Linked DNA regions of Oreochromis niloticus. The protein of the gene in region 1 binds, or shares a complex with, the protein of each later gene. Links are inferred from orthologs where the notes say so. Each region holds a gene or a part of one and is shown on either strand. Other genes may lie near its edges.

Region 1 (10,354 bases):
ATTGATCAATGGGGATGCTTAAAAAGTGCCCAATGCTCAATATATTGTCTAATTGATTATAATCTTGCAATGCTAAGTTGTCAGGGAAGGTAATCACACCACCTTAATTTGAAGGTGAAACTGGACTCCTGTACTGGACTGCCCGGGTAACACCGGAAAGCTCATATTTCATAACTGTTTGTCATCTTCTTGCTCAGGACTCCTGGTCAAATTCAGTCAAATTTCATTTTAATGTAAAGAGGCAGCTCTTTGGATCGCCCTACAAAGGTGATCAGATTGCTTTGTGCAAAAGGGCAAAACTGATTGTTCTTGCCGTGACCCTATTTGTCGTGACATTACTAGCGCCAGGCTAAAATTAGAGCTGAAATATTGGTTTCAACGGTTTTGTCAAGCATATACATTTTAACTCCTTGTATATTTGACAAACAGCATAATTAAACTGGTGGAAGTGATGCATATAGCACAGAGCCATGGATTTAGTCTGTATGAATGAGGTCTTTCACTCAGATTCTCAGCTTAAACAGAAGGGTCACTGTTCTGGGTTGCTGCTGTAACTGTCGTAGTAATCTTTTATTATGTTTATAAAAATGGATATAATGCTTCCAGTTTCACCCTGTTAACCATTAGATTTGGCCCACAAAAAAATAAATGAGGGTGAATGAAAATGAGCTGATTTATTTATTTTCATGCTTAAAATCTTTTTTTTGTGGATTTAAATATGGGTAAGCTAACAACAAGGGAAAAATAGAAAATCCCTGCCACTTGCATTATCTGTCATGTTTGATGCGTGGATTACCGACTCTCACATCAAACTGATTTCTAAGTGAAAGTGTCCCTATCATATACATGTTTTGGATGGTTTACTACTTGATCTACAACGTGGGTAAATCTGAACTACAGAAAAAAGGAGCAGATCTTTTGGGGGCCTCCTGGTTGCCGCGGGGCCCTGAACAGCTGCTGTGTGCCCTTGGGCTGACTATGAAACAACTCGTCTATTTTCCGGCCTCCGCAACATGATCTCAAACTTGGATTTGCCAGAAGCATTAGTGCAATAGCTATCAGAGCAGTCACAGAAGTTCACTACATTTCACATAAAGTGCTAAGCCCGACTCTCCCGTTGACTCACCCAGCAGGCTTCACCTGAGAGCTGTAAATCAGTGACGACTTGTTGCCCTCACACAGATACTCCACAGGTGCTGGGCTGATAGGCGCAGTGTTAACAGTGAGAGTGCAAAGTGACATAAATTATAAAACAGAGGTCAAGATGTTAGGATGACAGCAGAAAATTCAGGATAGTTCTGTAAACATATTTAGCAATTTTTTCATGAGGTTCCATCAGATAAAACAAGAGGAATGATTCAGAAATCAGAGGCATGCAATTCTCAACGACCCCCCCCACCCTTCGCAGAATACTATAAAATACACAAACAAGCATTTCATCTATGTAACCACTGAATATGAGAGCACCACAGAGCAGAGGTTAGATGCCAACTGGTAGGGAGAAGTAAGGCGACACTAGCTGTCGAGCTATTAAGACAATTAACAAAGTGGTCAGGAGGGGCCGAGCGGCAGAGATGGAACGGCTCGAAATGGAGAGAGATGAGGGTGTGAAGTGACAGTCAGCACATCTGGTCTCATCAATAATGCAGCGGGCCTTTAAACGGCAGTTTGTCGCTTATTGAGCGCTGCTGACTGAAATCAAGCCCGACACCTTAGATGCTGTCAGGGGAGAGTGAAAGGGTGACAGTGGAAGGAGGAGGATGAGGAGGAGAAGGGGAGGGGGAGGCTGGCAAGGAGAAATAACTTTTCAATGACTGCACTGAATGAGCGCTACAAAATACCACCAAGTACAACCTCATGAGTGTATGTGCTCGTCGATTAGTGAAGTTGAACTTTATAGAAACATCCGTCCAAACTGATACGTAAAAAAGACTTTCAGGGACTTCAAGTGGGCGACAAAGATTAAAGTCACCTTTTTGTGTCAGAACAAATCTAAAATACAGATAAAAATCCTCCTGTTTGTTTCTGTGTTCTGGCCGTGAATAATAAGCAAAGTTCTTTTTCTTTTTTGGCGAGACGTTATGGTGTCACTGTAAATGTTATGGTTATTCAAGTTTATCACATCATCATTTTAATTACTGGTAAAGTTAAAGACCAAGTCAGATGTTTGTGTGAAACCGTGCAGGGATTATTAAATTAATTCTTTAGTTGGAGCCAAAATGTTTTTTGTGTTCAGGGATGTTGATTTTTAGCCCAAGTGAACATAAATAGATGTACCAAATGTGATGAAGCTGAAATACTGAATTCTTGAGAATGGGATAAACAGACAATCTGAAAACATAAAACCAGTTTTTGTCAGAGAAATTAATAATATAAAGACTAGTCTACATTTGTGTAATGTAAACTACATACACTCTAAAAGCTGTAAAAATATCTGCACAATGTTTTCATCTCTTCATCACTTTTATTATGAAAATGAAAAAGACAGAAAAGCTCCGCAGACAAAGAAAAAAATTGGTCACTTTCATGCCTAACATTTTAAATGACAGTCAAAATGGGAGAAACATCTTTTTGATGACACGTTTTCTGTCTTAATAGTGAATTCAGTGATCCAACATCAAAATCAAAACAAATAAGGTTACGGCAACTACAATCAATTGCCTTGAGGAAGTGTAAGAAAAAAAAAAGAAAAGAATAGGTGAGCGGTTCAGAGAGTTCATTTTCCTGTGATCAGAGGATTTCTCAGCACCACGATGACAGAATCCCCCCTGAGGAACATTTTAGAAATGTAGCGGTCCTTATTTACGGGCTTCGACTTCTTCTTTCCCTTCCCGCTCTTCGGAACTTCTGTCCACATCTCCTTCACGTTCTCCAAGACCATGTTGCAATGCCTGAAATGCCGGTGAGGATGTAATGTTAGCAAGTTAGAGAAAATAAATGCATACATAAATAAAATACCTGTGATTTTACTCAGGTACTCATACATATGCATTTACATGTACATGTTCTGTGATTTTTTTTTTTTTTTTTAAATCTTCTGCAGTATCAGAAGAAATGATAAATAAATATTATACCTAAAATGGAAAAAACAAAACAAAAACTACTTTTCAGCTGCTACCTCATTCACAATGGGTTACTCCGGTGGGTAGTTCTGTATGTTTCAATTTCTATAACAGATCTTTCTGATGGAACGTCAATAGGAGTTGGCGGATCTTTCACTCATTAGGTGAGTAAACCAGCTCATTAAAATGATTGTATGTGCCTGAGGACAATGTTCCAGCAACATTATACAACAATTACAAACTAAATGTGTTTGGTTACTTTTACCTTTAAGACAGGGCAATATTTCATAATAAATTAAAGGTGCTAAATGTGACTCCAATGGAGAAAAATAAGAAACGAGTGAATACTAAAAAGGGACCAAAGTGACACGATAACATGTTATCACCAGTGGCTAGCAATAATAATGAAATAAAGGCTTAAATCTAACAAAACAGACAAAAGAAACAAGATATAAAACACACTGATATAAACAAGTAAGTCTCACATTATACCCTCAAGAGTGTTAAATACTAAATAAATGTCCAATTCGGTACCTGTCAAAAGCCTTGACTCTTCCGAGCAGCTTCTTATTGTTGCGACAGTTTATAAGGACCTGCGTGTTGTTCTTCACTGACTGCGTGAGGACTGAGAGGGGGCCGGTGTTGAACTCCTCCTCCTCTCGCTTCTGAAGCTCTTCAGGGGTCATCTCTGACTTGGGCTTTGTTAAGAGGCTCCTGCAAATGAAACAATGAGACAACATCATAACAGTATCCTAATAAGTGAGTGTGACAATAACAGTGGCATATATTTGAAATAGTAAAGTAGTACTATTGGAGGTTTTTTGTTATTAAGATAACACAAGACTTTATTGATCCCACAGCAGGGAAATCTGTGCGTTGCCACAGCTCAGGTACAGATAGACTAATTATACATTTTGATATTTTTTTTTATTATTAGGAAATTTTGCTGGAATTTATTCATTATTTGTTGTGTGACTACTTACTGAAAAAAAGTTAAGTGGAAAACTTAAACTGTACACGGTACACAAAGTAAAATGTCTCGCTACACCTGTAAAATTGGTATTGAGCACAGATGCATTTATCAGACAGCACACACACAACACACTGAAGCTTAAACCTAGCCATTTAAAAGCTTCAGTGGGTCATATTTTGGGACATGTTTGGGGACTTTTATGCTTTAAACTATTTAAAAAAATAATAATTTTTACGTCACTAGACTGCTACAGGTCGCAATTAGTTACCAGCATGAAAACGCACGCTCACACACTTTGTTTCTTGTTAGCATTTAGCAAACTAGCATTTACGCTATAGTCTGATTTCGGAATCAGTATTTTTAAACTGTACAACAAGGAAGACCAGATGTACGAACTACTTTTGATGTAACTACAACAAATCTGTAACACAGCTAGTTATGAAAAGGGAGAGCTCCGAAAGCGTCTACAAAGAATCAAGCACATCAAGCTAACCGGCCCGGGTAGCAGAAAGGCTAACAATGTTAGCCTTTTAAATGCTCGCTGTTAGCGGATTTCAGTGTCTGAAAGAATAACCAGTCTCTCACAACAATAGCTGATCATCACAGACACTTACATGATTTCTTTAGGTCGTTTTCAGCTCACTCTGTAACAATTCGGTCGTTTTCAGCTCGCTCTGCAACGATTCCGTATGGCTCGCGTGGATCAAACTACTTCCGGGTCTATTGGAAGGCGCTTCAAAAACGCCGCTACAACTACCGGGTTACTACAGGCTAACTGAACGGTACAAAAAAGTCAATCTGAAACACACCGTTTCCATCATTAATTGCATTATATTTTACATTTTATTCAATAGACTGCCTCTAAAAGCTGACTAGATATGATTTTATTATTCTACTCCGATGATCTATCCTGTTCACAAACTAATGACACATTAATTGCTGAATTTTAAGAGGTAAGACAAATATTTGTTGTTAGTCCAGAAAATCAGAGACAGAACATTTCATCGTATTTATCATCCAATTTTCTGAAACACAATGAGCGCATCAGGAACCCTGGCATTTTTTTTTTGGATAGTCAGTTTTGGTAATCATATAGTTTGATAAGAGTCCTCACATTAAGTCACTTCATTGGCTCCCAGTTGAGTACAGAATAAACTATAAATCCTTCTATTAGTTCATAAAAATTTTAAATGGTTTTAACTTTTATAGTAAGCCCATGAGATTACGTGTAGTAAAATATGGTATATACATATAAAATTGACATCACTGTTAACATATTAAATACAGGATAAATTCTTATGTAAGCATGCTCAAATTGTCTTTCAGTTTAAAAGCATAATTTTCTTATTATAGGGAATAGAGCAATTTTATGTTTTTTTCTGCAAAGAATACTGATACTCTAATAATAATAACAATAATAATAATAATAATAATGATAATAATAATAATAATAACGGTTTGGGACTCAATATAACTCAGACCTCTTAAGAAGATGTTATAGGATAAAAGAAATAAATCAGAGAGCAGTCAAACTGATATGCAGACTCAAACAGTTAAGTCATTGTTTTGCTCTTCGGTACAACAAGAACGAGTAAAAAGAGCACGTCTATGTCTGAGAGAGGGAGATTGGCTTTCTGGCAAGAGACAGACAGACGCCTATAGGTGTCCAACCCACCCACCTTGTTTCAGTGGTGGCAGATCTACCTGTCGAAAGCACTTGCTGCAGATAATGGCAGCCTGTGTGCTGCTGAGGGAGGGGAGTGTGATTGACTGGGATCGATTACCAGCGCTGCTGGGCTACATCTTTATGGAGCACACCTAGCTCAGCCAAAAGTCTTGCATCCTAAACTGTGGTGTAAAATGAGCTCATATACATGAAACGGAAAAGTGGGAGTCTGGAAAGACTTTGTTCAGTTAAGAGAGCAGGCAAATACTCAGTAACTAACCAAAAAGACAAGAAGAAAATATGTGAAACAGCCAAGTAGAAAAAGTAAAGTTTCCTTTTTGTTAACCTAAATTTTATTGGCTTTCAAAACAGACAGAACAGTGAGAACAAAAAATAAAGCAAAACATACACATTAACAGACATGCAGATGCACAAAGTAACTGTAAGATTCATTTAATTGGATTGTGTTTCTAAGAAAATGGATAGACCTGCAAGAAAGTGAACAGGATTTTAAAGGATTTACAATTCCCTCAGATTTATCAAAATATATTGTGGACATACTGTAAATCTTAATATCTTAAGTTTGCATCACTTCCCTCAAGCAGCACAAGGTGGCAACTTTTGTTATTTGCACTTCATTTACAGGAAGGTTATTATTCTCACCCAAAATCCCAAATATGGTGAAAGAGTCAGACTGAATTACTAGTCTGAAAAAAATATCTGACAGCACTTTGAAGACTGAGTTCAAACACGTGAACACGTTAGGACACCTCCAGAAAGCGTGTGCCAAAGAGGTGTGGGTATGACAGATTGACTCTACATTTGGAAAGGATTTAGAGTCTAATGTTAGTGAAACTGAACCTGTACAACACCTTACACTGAACAAGGACATGCCGGGCACAGACGGATAGCCACCCTCTCCCATAAGTGTTTTTTAAGCTCTTTTTCAGTGCACAACAAAAATCTGTTAAATCTGTTTGATTTATAATAATAATAATAAGAAGAAGAAGAATTTGTGGTAACTTGTGGTAACAAGGTTTCTTTTTGACAGAAAATACTGGAGCTTAAACAGAGCCTGAAAATTTTGCAGCGTGGGAGAAACAAGCTGGCAAACACTGATGCTGATGTTGATCGTCAAACAGGTGCACTTTGAGACATACTGATGCAGAATGTTCAGTGGCTTTAAAGAGCTGCTCTGTTTCTCCAAACAGAAATGATGTGGAGGGAGAAGTCGAAGGTCTGGCATGGACTGCTTCATGCTCAGCAACTGAATTCCAACCTAATTTTAAGGGAACAACAAATGCAGATACGTGAGGGTCTTCAAAGACCCTTTCCTACTCACCCAAATCAAACAGAACAAACAGAGGTGTTATTCCCACTTTACATTTTGTTGTACATTTTAAAAAATGTATCTGAAAACTGAAATTTGAGCAGAAAGAGATGATAACTAAAGAGTTTTTTTTTTAAAACTTTTGATTGGTTTTGAAAAAGCCATCATAATTTCTACATTTCTGCAGCTTCCTGCACACCAAAAACCAGCGAAACCTTATTGTAGCAGGGTGAATTATAGCTCTATGGTTATTAGTAGAGCTGTCAAACTAAACATGTTATTTATTGCACTAACAGCAAACAGTATCTTCTTACTCCTGCCTCAGGATACTTTGCACCAAAAGCTTGTTGCTTCACAGCTAAGCCCCCCCCCCCTTGCTGCTCTGCACACCACAGTGCCACAGTGCTTCATGCCAAAGTGTAAATATTATCTTTTGTATCTATCTAGACAGTGAGTTACCTGATCCAGCCCGGTCTGCTTTAACCACAGGTGACTGTGGATGTGGCTGGCTTTGGAAAGGTGGTGAGGTTTTTTTTTCTTTCTATTTATGTTTTTGATAAAGAACCCTTTGTTTAAAAGAGACAGCTGCTCTAATCTGCATCCACATACATCTATTAATTTAAATCTCCAGGGTGCAGCAGGGAGGAGAGGTGAGGGAAAGTTTAACAGGCAGTGATGTCAGCGCAGGTTGAAACACAAGACAGATCAATAAGATCTGCGCGACTGGAAATGCCATGTCTACCTGTTGAGGTTACATCACAACCTTTTCCACACGATATCTCCTCGAGAAACCTTTTTAGTGGAACTGTTCATAAACAAAAAAAGAATGGCTCAGAGCATACCCACACAGAGGCCTCTGTGCCTCACAACCTTTCCTTAAAACATTCAATCCAGTCTATATATAGTTCTTATTGTGCGGGCTCAAATCTCCAGAGTGAAACATTTAATAACACAGCCAAATAAGAACAATCAACAACAGCAGCTTTTAATGAGGTAAAAAGAAAACACAATTAAAAATGCATTATTTATCGTTTAATTACATGTAAGGTCATTAAAATGGGAATGTAATATATATATGGTTGCAACATTAACGAAATCGAAGACAATAAGTGCAGCAAATGAGCAGTTTAAGTATCATTTTCACATCGCATTTTCACCCAAACTGAAAACTCATAATTTAAAAAGTGGACTAAAAAATCCAAAAATCCAAAAAACCAAACCAAAAAACCCGGTTCCACCCGTTCGTTTAAAATTTAGCTGGAACCTTTTCGAAGTAATATTTTAATGTGTTGGACACCATGCTGGAGAAAGCAAATCCCTTCATCAAGAGTTATATATTTTTCGATTTTATTTCATGTTTAAAATCGTGTTTTCTTCTCACCTCCCTTCAAACCAAAACTGGTGACATGCGCCAAAAAACCCTTCACTTTTTGATACCAATAAACATACATGTGGGAAATCATTGATGAGGAAAGTTAACAAAGGATAATATTTTTTCTAGTACAATTTCAGAAGCAGATGCAAACTCGGTGAACGTTAATTGCATTAAAAAATGATCTGCGCATATCCGCGCATATCCTAGGATTTACATTATATGCAAAAACACATTTTTTTGCTCATTTTCGGAAATGTGTTTGTCGGATGAAGTATTTTAAGACTTATAGTCCACGCGTCATTTATTTTGGTCATTTAAACTTTGCAACTCTGAGAAATAATCCAAGTCTATTAACGCTTTTTTACTTAGAGACATCCACTGTGACGCAGACATTTGGGTAAATATTGCAGGATTTTTATCATTCATCGGGATTCTTTGGCTTTGCCTTTTGTTTCCAACAATTAGCAAACTATCTACAGCAATGTTTCAAATCTCACATACTGGCTGTCGGGACTGTTTATCTATTTCTCTATATTCCAAGACGACGGGCTCGGGCTGACTTGAGGGCAGTAATTTGAAAAGTCACCGCAGCATCCTCCGAGGTCTGAGTGACCGCTCTTGGGTAAAAACGTCGCCGCTGGTGTCTTGGAGGTGGCGCACTCCTCTTGACTAAACGTGGCGGCGCACGGTATGTGGTGAGAGTAAAAGTAGCTGGCTTGTCCGGAGATCATGTTAAAAGAGCACGGGTCTGTCAGCGGCAGCGTGCACGCGGGGATGGAGGTGGAGAAGGCGGTGCACGCGGCGCCGATCTGGTGGCGACGGGACTGCGCGCAACTGAGTCCGATGTAAGACATCTCCTGGTGCGTCTGCACGAACCGGTCAGCGTCCGCAGCGTTTGCGCTCAGTCGGGCCCGCTGTGAGACCACCGACGTGGCGTGGTTGGAGAAGCGAGGGTGCGCGCTCAGGTAAGTCCCCGCGCCAAGGTGGGTGCGCACCGGCGCTTGGAGAGGTAGAAACGGCGGAACCGGCCAGTAAAACGAACTGGCTGCGGCCAGAGTGACGCTAGTTGCAGTGCTGGAGGGCATCACACGACCGCCTCCTCTCTTCAACCCAAGCTTGGCCCTGGAGCCAGCTGCGGCTCTGCGCCGCAGTTTTCCCGATGTGCCACCTATGAAGACGTCCTCGCTGCAGGGGTCCAGCATCCAGTAGTTGCCTTTGCCGGGATCGTCGTAGTGGCGCGGCACTTTCACGAAACACTTGTTTAGGCTCAGGTTGTGCCTGATTGAATTTTGCCACCCTTGTCTGTTTTGCCGGTAGTATGGAAAGTTGTCCATGATGAACTCATAGATGCCGTTGAGCGTGAGCCGTCGTTCGGGGCTTTGGCGGATCGCCATCATGATGAGCGCGTTGTAACTAAAAGGAGGTTTCTCGGGTTTGACGCTTTCTTCTGCCCCACCGGTTTCCCTCGATTCTTCCTTATTTCCTTCTCGTTTCCCAGTTACAGTCCCCGCTTTGGTTTCCACTTTGGCGCATTCTTTTGACTTTTCAAAGTTTTGATCCTGGCTGGTTTTTGCAAGCTGGTTAGAGCGCACTTTCTGGGACTGAGAAGGAGACTCCTTGTCACCCATCACTCCTTCTCGTCTCCACAACAGGCTGCTGATGCTGAATGAAGACTTGTGGAATAATCGGCTTGAAGTTTTCACATCCTCAATCTCCATCCCAAAGGTTAAAAAATACTCTCGAAATTCTCAAAGCTGTCCGGAGAGCGCAGGAGAGCGTACCGCTGAACCCACAGAGCAAAGATGCGTCGACTCAAAGTGGTGAAGAGCCAAAGACGCACGGGCCAGACAGCGTGACAACAAATGCGCATGATCACAGCAGCTCAGGACTCGTTACCTCCAAAACGACTCGAGTTGGTATTTACTTTGTAACTGCACATAAAAGAGAA
Region 2 (10,374 bases), on another chromosome or scaffold:
TCAGTGTTTGTTCATTTAGCACCAAGAGTAACTCGATGTATGTTTCTAATTTTAAGATAACCAATAAAAAGGTTTGAACTCTTAGTAATATTGACACTAAGATGGAGTTTTATTATGTGTAAGAAGGGTCAGTGGATGATAATCTGAAAGTTAAAAAGTAAAGAGGGAAAACTCGCCACTTTGCTATAAAACATGTTTCCCCTCCCTTTCCAACAGTTTAATCTTGAAGTCAGCACTCATTCTCCAACTACTCAACTGGAACTGCTGTTTTTTTGAAGATTTTGTGGCAGAAAAATCTAGGGCAGAAAGAAAAACTGTTTTCTTTTAAGAGTGTACGTGTGTGTCTTCTCCTTTTGGGTTTAAACAGGACCTCTTTAGCACTTCATTCAACCCAAAAATGTTGTGCAATCTAGTCTTTACTTGCCTACCAGCAGGATTTGCTGTCGATTTACTGTGATGGGTATGGGCAGTGACAGGAAATCTGCCTAAAGAGACAAATTCAAACGTTCAAACTGAAAATGGTTACCAATCAGTTTAATCACAGGAAGCTGAAACTGTAAATGTTGAACAATCTGCCTCTATAGCTGAGAGAACTACACACTGTGTAATGATATCCTGTTGGGCTATTTATGAGCATAAAGTATGAATATTTTATTTCTTTTCACTGCTTTCTTTCTGCAGGTATAATTATGAAATCTTTTGTCTATACACAATTTAAATGTGCTCAAACTGAGCTGTAAAAAGTTTATGTGGATATTAAAACAGCTGAATAGTTGTATAATGACTTTATCAGGACAGACATTAAAATGAAAAATTCAATTCATTTTCTTCATAATTCAGGCACAATGGATGCGTTCAATGCCAAGGACATGGCCATGAAGGCACAGAAGAAGATCCTCAGCAGCATGGCCACAAAAAGCTCTGTACAAATGTTCATTGATGACACCACCAGTGAGATCCTAGATGAACTGTACCGGGTCTCCAGAGACTACTTGGGAAATAAATCAGAGGCTCAGAAAGTCATCAAAGACCTCATCAAGATTGCAGTCAAGATCGGCGTCCTTTTCAGGAACAACCGCTTCAGCACAGAAGAGCTGGCAGTGGCCCAAGACTTTAAGAAGAAGCTCCACCAGGGAGCAATGACAGCTATCAGTTTCTATGAGGTACACTTCCCAACTTAAAAATTTTAATGCATGATGTATAAGTAGGCATACATCACCTGAAAGAAAATTGTGCTAATGCACATGTTTTCTAGCTCCAACTGCAAAAGAATGCCAATTACTCTCAAATGGGAAAAATGTTTTGTGCACAGCATGAACTTCAAGGCTGGGAAATCAGGCAACTTCAAGAGTTGCTTGACCTTAGTTTTTCCACAATAAATGCAATTTGCAGTTGTGTTAACATTTCCAATTAAAACAGATAAATATATTAATCACATAGCATCAAAATGTCCAGGTTAGTTCATTGTTGAATATGATTCTCTTCTGCATCAACGTGTGGCTCAGACATTGCTTTAAAGGGTTGCTTGTTTTATTTCAGTTCCACATAATCAAGTGCTTGTTTCTCTGCTTTGGTAATGTGAGAGAACAATAAGTTGATATTGAAACTTCTGTATTGGGATTAAAATTGAATATGCAAGAAAGATTAAGATAACGAAAATATGCAACCTCTAAGACGTCTTTAAACCTGGTAGAATATTCATACATCATATCCTGCTACTTCACAGTCATGTTAAGATATTAAACAATTCTACTTGTATGAAATTCCTAACATGAATGCATGTCTTGTCTGATGCAGGTGGACTTTACCTTTGAAAAAACAGTGATGGCAGACATCCTGACCAGCTGCAGGGATCTGCTGCTGAAACTGGTCAACACCCACCTCACCACTAAATCTCATGGTCGCATCAACCATGTCTTCAACCATTACTCCGACCCACAGCTCCTGACCCAACTGTACAACCCTGATGGGCCCTTCAGACCCAACCTCACCAAGATCTGTAAAGGACTGAATAAACTAGTGGAAGATGGGACAATATGACATCAGAACTAAATTTCAGACAGACACTGGGAGATCAACAGACAGACTCAACTAGGACTCTGAACTGCTTGTTTTTCTGTTACTGAGGACTGGCAACATAAAACAAGTCATTTGAGAACCAACCTGCTTTCCCATAGTTCTCAAAGAACATGTGGGATACAAATAAAGCTTTGTGGAGTCATTCAAGTTTTTGATATTTTGGGGCCATAAATATATATTATGTAAGTGATGCTAATTTTCTATTCAGACAGTGTCCAAAGAAAACAAACTTGAAATTAAACAGATATATTGTGCATTGATTATTTTACTAGCATACAAAATATCATCTAATATTTGTGACTTTGAAATGTATTATTCAGAACTACTGATATTATGCATTATAATCACTGATATGAATCAGCTGGACAGATGCATAAGCAAGTTAGGCCTGGGAACAGTACCACTATAGTACACCACTGCCATCTGGTGGTTAAGATGATGCTTCTGCAGCAACAAACTGTATTTACTGAGGTGTCCAGACAACAATCAAGCCAAAAATAAAGATAATGACCCCAGAGTGCACAATTACTGCGACCATGACTGTATTTTAAAAACATGTTTAGATCAACAAAAAGACAGACTCTTTACTCATGACTGCTTGAACAGCCAATCTATAATTCATGATTTTTGGATCACAGTAGGGCTTAAAAATGTTTTAATTCATTGGTCTATTGGCTATTCATTGGTCTTACACGGCAGTTAAAATGGATAAAAATCAACTCCAATTGGACATTAAATCTCACATAACAGCTAAATCTGCATGTTATACTAAAAGATATTTGTTAGCAGTAATGTGAATAAATGTCATTTAACATGGGATAAAAATATTTATTTTAAAACAAAAAATACAAAATTGAGAAGACATTAGAAATATAACCTTAACAACACAATTATTGCAATGAAATATTATAAAGCCTACAAAATGTTTTCTTGCATTTTCAGCAGTAATAGAAAAACCATCATTCTAATCAGTTTATTGTCATCATCATTATTACAGTAAACGTAACTTGTGTTTAAGATTCCATTTCCTAAGGTTACAAGTCTGAAAATATGAGGCAATTACACACAAACCCCTTTTGTGTTGACCATATGATCATCTGACTAAATATGATTGATTTTTCATTTTTCAAATTTCAAGTTTCCATTTCCTGGATGTGAATAGTCATATGAAGCTTTTCACAACCTACAGTATGTCTCACCAAATAAATAACAAGTCTACAATTGTGCAATATAATTTTTTTTAAATGGAAGTGTAAAAACACTTTTATGCTTTAGGCAGCAGCGGGATCACCGGGGATTCCTTTTCATTCCTTTATCCGTAACGCTCCGTTATCCTGGAGATCAAACAGCGCATCACGGCTCCCTGCGAAAGTTCCATTAATGTTCTGAGTGACAGACATGTCACAGTTCAAAGATTTCATCTTCCTTGTCTCTCAGTTTCTTGGTCAGTTTGGTGACAGTGAGCGGTACTGTCCCATGTACTGCCATCCTGGAAGATGAAATGACACTCTGTGACCTCGTAAGCGGCCGGCAATCTGATGTCCTGTTGTTGCAAGTTGCTTCTAGTGTAGCAACCCTGGTAAATAAAAAAAATATATAACAGAGCAAGTCATTCACAGTGTACTGATCTTAGGCTAAATTGATTGATATTCTTAAAAAATAAAAAAAAATAAAAATAATCGCTGTTGCACTGGTACTATCACCAGGTCATTACAAATTAAATTCAAAGTAGCTATTAAGCATTGGGAATCTTTTGAACAGCCACATTGTGAGTGGTTGATGAAATACTAAGAAGGCCAGAAAGGTGGATGACTATACTTGACATGACAATCTAGGTTAAACTGACCACCAGATACTATCCATGTATATCTATGCTTAACATCAAAATGCGTGTATTTAACCATGACCTCAACATTGTTTACACATCAGTGAAGGTACAATATTCTCAGCGACATGACTAAAAACATATCCATAAGCAGGACCAACTGATCTAACTATTAGTGACTTAAATACGAAGAGGGTAAGTCTCTGTAATGCTACAAATGACCCTGACTGGACAACAACTGTGCAAAGAAAAGAGCAACCAGCGACAGGCACAGTTATACCTTTTCTCTGCTTCCTGGCATCCTTTGACTGCAGCCTGCTTGGACTGGCTTATCAAGTCATCCAACCTTTTCAAAAAATCCCCAGGAGTGAGATCTTTTCTGTCTTCTTGATTTTTCTCAGAGGAACTCCCTGTGTGTCCATTGTGAAGCGAAGCAGAGTTAGCACTGCCTTTGTTGCCGTCCTCCTCAGCCACATCCAGCCCTTTACTGCAGTCGTCCAGGTCTGCTATCACAGGGATTGTCAAAGACTTCTTCAGGAATATTGAGTCATTGGTGTACAGCCTGTTTGCTCTTTTGATTTGCTCCATCTGAAAGAGAAAATGTCCTTGTGAACCTTATGTTAATTAGTATTAGACTTGGCTAAATCAAGTCTCACTTTTACCGAGATCAGTAGGCAGACAGCAAACCAAATAAATACATGCCATTTTAAGGCAAGCACTTTTTCATAGTATGCCCTAACAGCTGAATAAACAATTTAATTATGTAGTTGAACGTTTTTGTTGAACCACTGAGATAACCCTACCTCAATAAATATGAAAATAAAACAATAAGAAATGTGATTATTCACCCACATTTACATTTCAGTATTGGTAAATCAAGTATTCAGTTAGAAGACATCATATCGCAACAAGTAAATTTCAACATAAGCTTAACATGACATCGTGGTTTGGGAACAGCTGTGTGAAGGACCAAAAAGCTCTCCAGAGATTGATCCGTACAGCAGAACGCTGCTGCAGGATTGCTCTCCCCCCGCTTCAGGACACCTACACCAGGAGATGCCGGACTAGAGCAACGCAGATACTGAAGGACCCGTCCCATCCTGGCAACAAACTGTTCCAACTTCTACAATCTACAAGAGGAGCTTCTATCCTCAAGCCATCGGCCCTAAACCAACACCCCCCCCCACCCACCCACACACACACACACACACACACACACACACACACACACACACACACACGCCCTCTCACATCATCTATAATTGACTGAGACTTTCCTCCAGACACTCATTTCCTTTAACTTTAAATATGTTTATATTGTCCATTCTGTAAAATAGTCAGATGTCTATTCATATTAATGTACAGAATTGACCTGCTTGCTGCTACTACTGCACATTCACCCAATGTATATTTATAATGTTATTCCTCTACCCCCCCTCCCTTTTTGCACATGTCGAGGAGCGTGTCAGGATACATTTCACTCTGTGTTATACTTGTATAACTATGCATGTGACAAATAAAGAACCTTGAACCTGAACTGTTAAAGGCGCAAGAAATAAATACTTTAACTAATTCAGTCTCAGAGTCAAACCAACACAGTCATACTCACAGACACTCCATACTTCAGCGCCAGGCCTTGCAGTGTCTCTCCCGGCTGAATTATATGTTCAATACGTCTCTGGTGCACCGGGGACAGCGGAGATCGGATCAAACTGCCGTAAGATCTTGTGCGGCTCCCTCGGAGTAGGCCGTCTCCTCCAGCTGGTAGTGGAGCTCGCTCCTCTGACATTGTCGTAAAACACTTATATTGTTCTTTTTTTGTGTGGTAAACAACCATGTGGGCCTAAAATGCGCTTACCAGCGAACTTCACTGCTGTTAACATCTTCACAATAATGGCTTCCGCTTTAGCCCATAATTATCAAACTAGCAGCTTAGTTAGCCTGCTAGCTAAGGCTATCAACTTAATTAACGTCGTCGCTCGTTATTTGTTCCAAGCGTTCAATCTTTTCTCCAAAATGACAGCCGTTTAAACTATATAGAAAGTTTCTTGGATTACAAATATAACGTACCTTATCTGTCAAATACACAACTAAAAGTCGCTGAAAAACTTGTTTTCAAAACTCTTGCAGTCAGCTGTCTACAGCCATATGTTGCCATGGCTGCCGTGTTCACTGACTAGTCCTATGATTCGCCACAACGCGTTGCATTAAAGACTGTAGGGGAAAAATTTGCGTTTTATATTAAGTTGATATAGTTTGTTTCACAAATTGAGCAAATACAAACTATAGCCACAAATCGAGCTTTCAAATGACTATGCGGACTTTATATTATAAAAACCAGCAGATATCGTTGTAGTTCCGATAGCCGAAACAATTATCCACCTCAAAGATGAGCACAGGTCTATATTTCCTATCTTCCGTTTGTCCATGAATGCAGCATTGCTATTAGCTTATATATTATAGCCAAGAAGCTACGCTGCTACTCAGATTAGTTTTTATATTATTGATCATAACAATTATGTCCTTTAAAAGAGAAGGTGACGATAAAAGCCAGCTGAATCTCCTTAAGGTACGGATCAATTTGCAGCATTTTATGTTGGCTTAATAACAGAGACTTCAGCTAAGAGCACACATGTGGCTAGTGTTAGCATCTTTAAGCTAACAACATACTGTAGTTATTACTTTGGGAAATAAAATTGTAGTAAAACTTACATACTATCTAACGTTATTCGCTTCGTTTTACAGAAACGTCGTGTGGCAGACCTTTTGTCTAATTTTATTCCAGAAGATGAGGCTGCTCTTATGAAAAATGGAAGGTGGAGTGAACTTCAAAACATTGATATGTTTGGGAAAGACAAACTTGTGTAGCTAACGGCATGTTTAGTTTAATTTCTCCCCGTATCTTATAGGTACACTTGCCTTGTGTGTTCCTACCGTCCTGTGTTTGATACAGTCGACATGTTGACAGTCCACAGAAAAGGAAAGAGGCATCTAGACGGTGAGCACCTTTAACCTGCAAAGTTATTTAAAGCAACTAAGTTAGTACGTGGGCTCGTACCCCGGGGACCTAGCGGACCTGAAGTTTCGGCCCCAGTCTTATTAAGAAGCGCTGTATCAAGGGTTAGCCATCTGCACACCATTTCTATCCCTTGTCTTTCGCCCTATTTATTGAGACAGTACCCCATATTTTAAATGACTCTGCATTTCTAAAGTCAATGCTGCAGGACAGGCACTTTTATGAGGTCGAGCTATCATCTGAGGTGCTGTGAAGTGCAGGTTAATATGCCATCCTTGCTACATATGCTACACAAAATCAGAGGAGTACAGATGCATAAACTATGCATATTAATAGAATCTGCTCAAAAATAAAATACAACACTGAAGACTGAAAAGCTACTTGTGAGAGGGAGAAGCTACATAACTAACTGAGGATCAAAGAAAGAGATGCGCTGGTCAGTAGTTATGTCCTCATCAGGCAAAACAACAGCCAACACAAGACCTGTATTGTAATTTGATGCAGCAGTTGAAAACCCAACTGAGTAAATGAATAAACTCAATAAAACTCAAAAGCAGCAGTCAAGGGGAAATTTTGCATTGCATTTGCAGATAATCAAGTCAAGTTAACAAAGAGTTGAAATATTGGAAAGTTCAATAGTTTTTGGATTGCGTCATTGGTTAGCTGTTTTTGTGTGTCTTTTCTAATGCTGCGTCACAAAGAGTAGTTTTGGTTTTCAAATTATCTGGATTTGATATCCCGTCATTATTTGGAAGAATTAAAAACCCAAACGATGATACATTGTAGCACTTTTTCACACTAAAACTGCATATTTACAAGTACATAGGGATAAGTAAAAATTTCATGCTTTTGAATTTGTTAGTTTTTCCATCACTTTGAATGGCTGTCAAACAAATTGTACTCTTTAAGTGTCAGAGTGTTGTACAACTATCTAATTTTTCTTCACCAGGTTTTTTTTTTTTTTTTTTTTTTAACATCCAACTTTCCTCATTCGGAAAAGCAAAACTCTGTCTGTTGTCTCTTACACAAACAATTAAAGACAAGCATTTGTACCCTGGAAGTTTTCTTTATTTTCTGATGATTCACTTGAAAAAATTCCGGAAAGTGTATTTTGAATAAGGGTATCACCGTATAACATGTATGTTAGATAAGTTACAGCATATAAAAAGTGTTGTTTTTACCTACATTTCGATACCAGTTTAATTTCTACAGTATGAAGGTAAAGTTTTGCATGTCTTCATTGTATATACCAAACTTGCTGTACTTCAAAGGGAAACGAGTATGACTTTTTTTTCAGGTTTGGTTCAGTTTACATTGACTTTTTAGTAAACCCAGTTGTTTGTTGTGTGTTCTACTCAGGGCTAAAAGCATTTTATGGCAAGAAAGCACGGCTGAAGAATGAAATAACAAAACGGCAACATGAAAACTACGTCGAGGCTGAAGAAAAAAGGCAGGTTGGTAACTATTAATCATGCTTTCTCTGTCAAGTTCACAAGTCTGTCATAGCCAACAGAAAAAATCTGTGTGTTTAACAAAGCAACAACAGATGAGAACCAGCCGGGTCATTCTGCCAGCAGACGGTCAATGAATCATCACAGGAAAAACATCACGAGCTCAACAGATGTAATCTTTCTTTACTGCATGACATTGTTATTCCATGTTGTTGTCTCCTGTTAAATCACTTATGTGGTGCCCGTGTGACTACCATATGACTCTAACAAATTACACCTTACTAAACAATTCAGTGTAGTTGTGTAATGGTGGAAAATATGAGCCACTCTTGTTGTGATTTCAGGAGCCCTCCAGTTCAGCCCCATTACTAGCACAAACACGGAAGCTCACCCATCATGCTTTGCTGAAAACTGTACCATATAACAGCTGTCATAGAAAAACCAGGTGAGTGATTACTTGGTATGAGAGTTGTCTGTATTTGAAGCCATACAATGAAAAACACAATTTAAATTATTTGTCATTCTTTTTAAGCACAAAATCTGAAAAAGTGACAGCAAGCACCAGCTCAGACCCCAGTGACAACATGACATCTGCATGCTGGGAATCTGGCATTTCAGTGAACACGTCACAAAGCAACTCTACTGTCTGTTCAACAGGTAAGGTCTGCTAGAGGAAATGTTTTATTGTCAGCTTTTATTTTGAGCAAACCTTGGTCATGATTTTGCCTGAACTCTTTTTGTAGCCAATAAAGAGCCACATCCATCAAAAGATACGGCCGAATCTCAGGCTGCAGAGACACAGGAGGCTGAACCCATCACTGCCCAGAGGAAGAGAGAGCTGGAGCACTACCTCAAACTGAAAAGGTGCCTAAATGTTGTGGGACTTTCACTTTCTAATGTTGTACATTTTCACTACTTTTTAGCAGATTATTAGATTTTCAGTGCATTTTATCTATTTTTTTGTTGTTGTTGTTATTTTTTCATAGTGATGGGTGGCTGCAAGACCACAGCGGCAAGTGGGTTAAAGACGAGAATGTCGAGTTTGATTCAGATGAGGAAGAGCCGCTTACCCTTGCCCCTGTGCCTGCAAATCAATGACAGCACTTAGAATGGTGTGGAAGCACAGATGAAATTTGTACCACAGTGGTACGTTCACGAGGCACAGTGCTGCATAAAACAGACACAGCTCCATGTGAAAAGAGTTTATTTAACACATTTATTCTGTTCGTGAACCTTTTATGTTGTTTTAATCTACTGAGTCTTCAGCGGCTATTTCTTCCATCCAGGATGTAATCAGTGGAGGTTGCTACAGAGTCAGTCTTTATTCAAGTGTAATCTTTGACCAGACAACTTTTCATATCCAGTTATATTTTATGCTTAAGGCTGAACCTTTGTTGGCTTATCATAGTCCACCCTGAAAATACATTTAGAGTTGGGGGAAAGTGATAAGAATTAACCAATGGTCTCTGAATTTGAGTACTTATATTATCTAACAGCTTACTTTACACCCATAAAGAGTCCTGAATGGAAGAGTCTGAAATCGTTTACAGCTGTGAAAGAGACAAACCACTCATGTTACCGGCACTTTTCCTTAAAATGTTGTGTGTGACTATTTTTTGTTACATTAAATCCAACACCACTGTTCCAATCTGTTGAAAAGATTTGTGCAATGTGACCTCTGCTTGTGACATGAGCATTCTTAGTGTACCTAGAACCCTCCCTCCACCCAGACAGGTTGTGCTACTTCATGCGGGAAGAGCAAGTTTGTCCCAAAGATGTGTTAAGATTTGTCTCTTTTGTCTGCTGCATGTTTGTTTCTCTACTTGCACAAGCAGATTAAGGTAACATCAGGGTTCTGGGAAATGTGATTTTGGAAATATTCATATTCAATACGACTGACCAAACTCTTCATGTTATTAAGAAGTTGGAAAATATTCAAATTGGCATTTGCCTGATTATCTGGCAGGAATTCAGACCATGTTTAAAATCTGTATAGAATTTAT

The links. Proteins that work in one complex are often made in the same cells at the same time.
Region 2: snrpd2 (region 1) and scnm1 share a complex: the UniProt entries of both Homo sapiens proteins name them as parts of the minor spliceosome. The link is inferred for Oreochromis niloticus from reciprocal best matches to the Homo sapiens genes SNRPD2 and SCNM1.

The regions. Positions count from the first base shown.
Region 1 is NC_031979.2:15,053,160-15,063,513, forward strand, and holds snrpd2 (small nuclear ribonucleoprotein Sm D2), read right to left. Parts: upstream 4,798-10,354; 5' UTR 4,652-4,797; coding exon 4,650-4,651; intron 3,777-4,649; coding exon 3,597-3,776; intron 2,892-3,596; coding exon 2,717-2,891; 3' UTR 2,445-2,716; downstream 1-2,444. Other genes in the region: foxg1c (forkhead box protein G1c), read right to left, coding at 8,928-10,124. UniProt on the Homo sapiens protein: Plays a role in pre-mRNA splicing as a core component of the spliceosomal U1, U2, U4 and U5 small nuclear ribonucleoproteins (snRNPs), the building blocks of the spliceosome.
Region 2 is NC_031976.2:31,212,525-31,222,898, reverse strand, and holds the start of scnm1 (sodium channel modifier 1), read left to right. Parts: upstream 1-6,288; 5' UTR 6,289-6,422; coding exon 6,423-6,473; intron 6,474-6,649; coding exon 6,650-6,720; intron 6,721-6,813; coding exon 6,814-6,902; intron 6,903-8,279; coding exon 8,280-8,374; intron 8,375-8,715; coding exon 8,716-8,816; intron 8,817-8,903; coding exon 8,904-9,028; intron 9,029-9,114; coding exon 9,115-9,235; intron 9,236-9,357; coding exon 9,358-9,469; 3' UTR 9,470-10,374. Other genes in the region: tnfaip8l2b (tumor necrosis factor, alpha-induced protein 8-like protein 2 B), read left to right, coding at 846-1,163, 1,798-2,040; lysmd1 (lysM and putative peptidoglycan-binding domain-containing protein 1), read right to left, coding at 3,481-3,655, 4,185-4,492, 5,514-5,741. UniProt on the Homo sapiens protein: As a component of the minor spliceosome, involved in the splicing of U12-type introns in pre-mRNAs. Plays a role in the regulation of primary cilia length and Hedgehog signaling.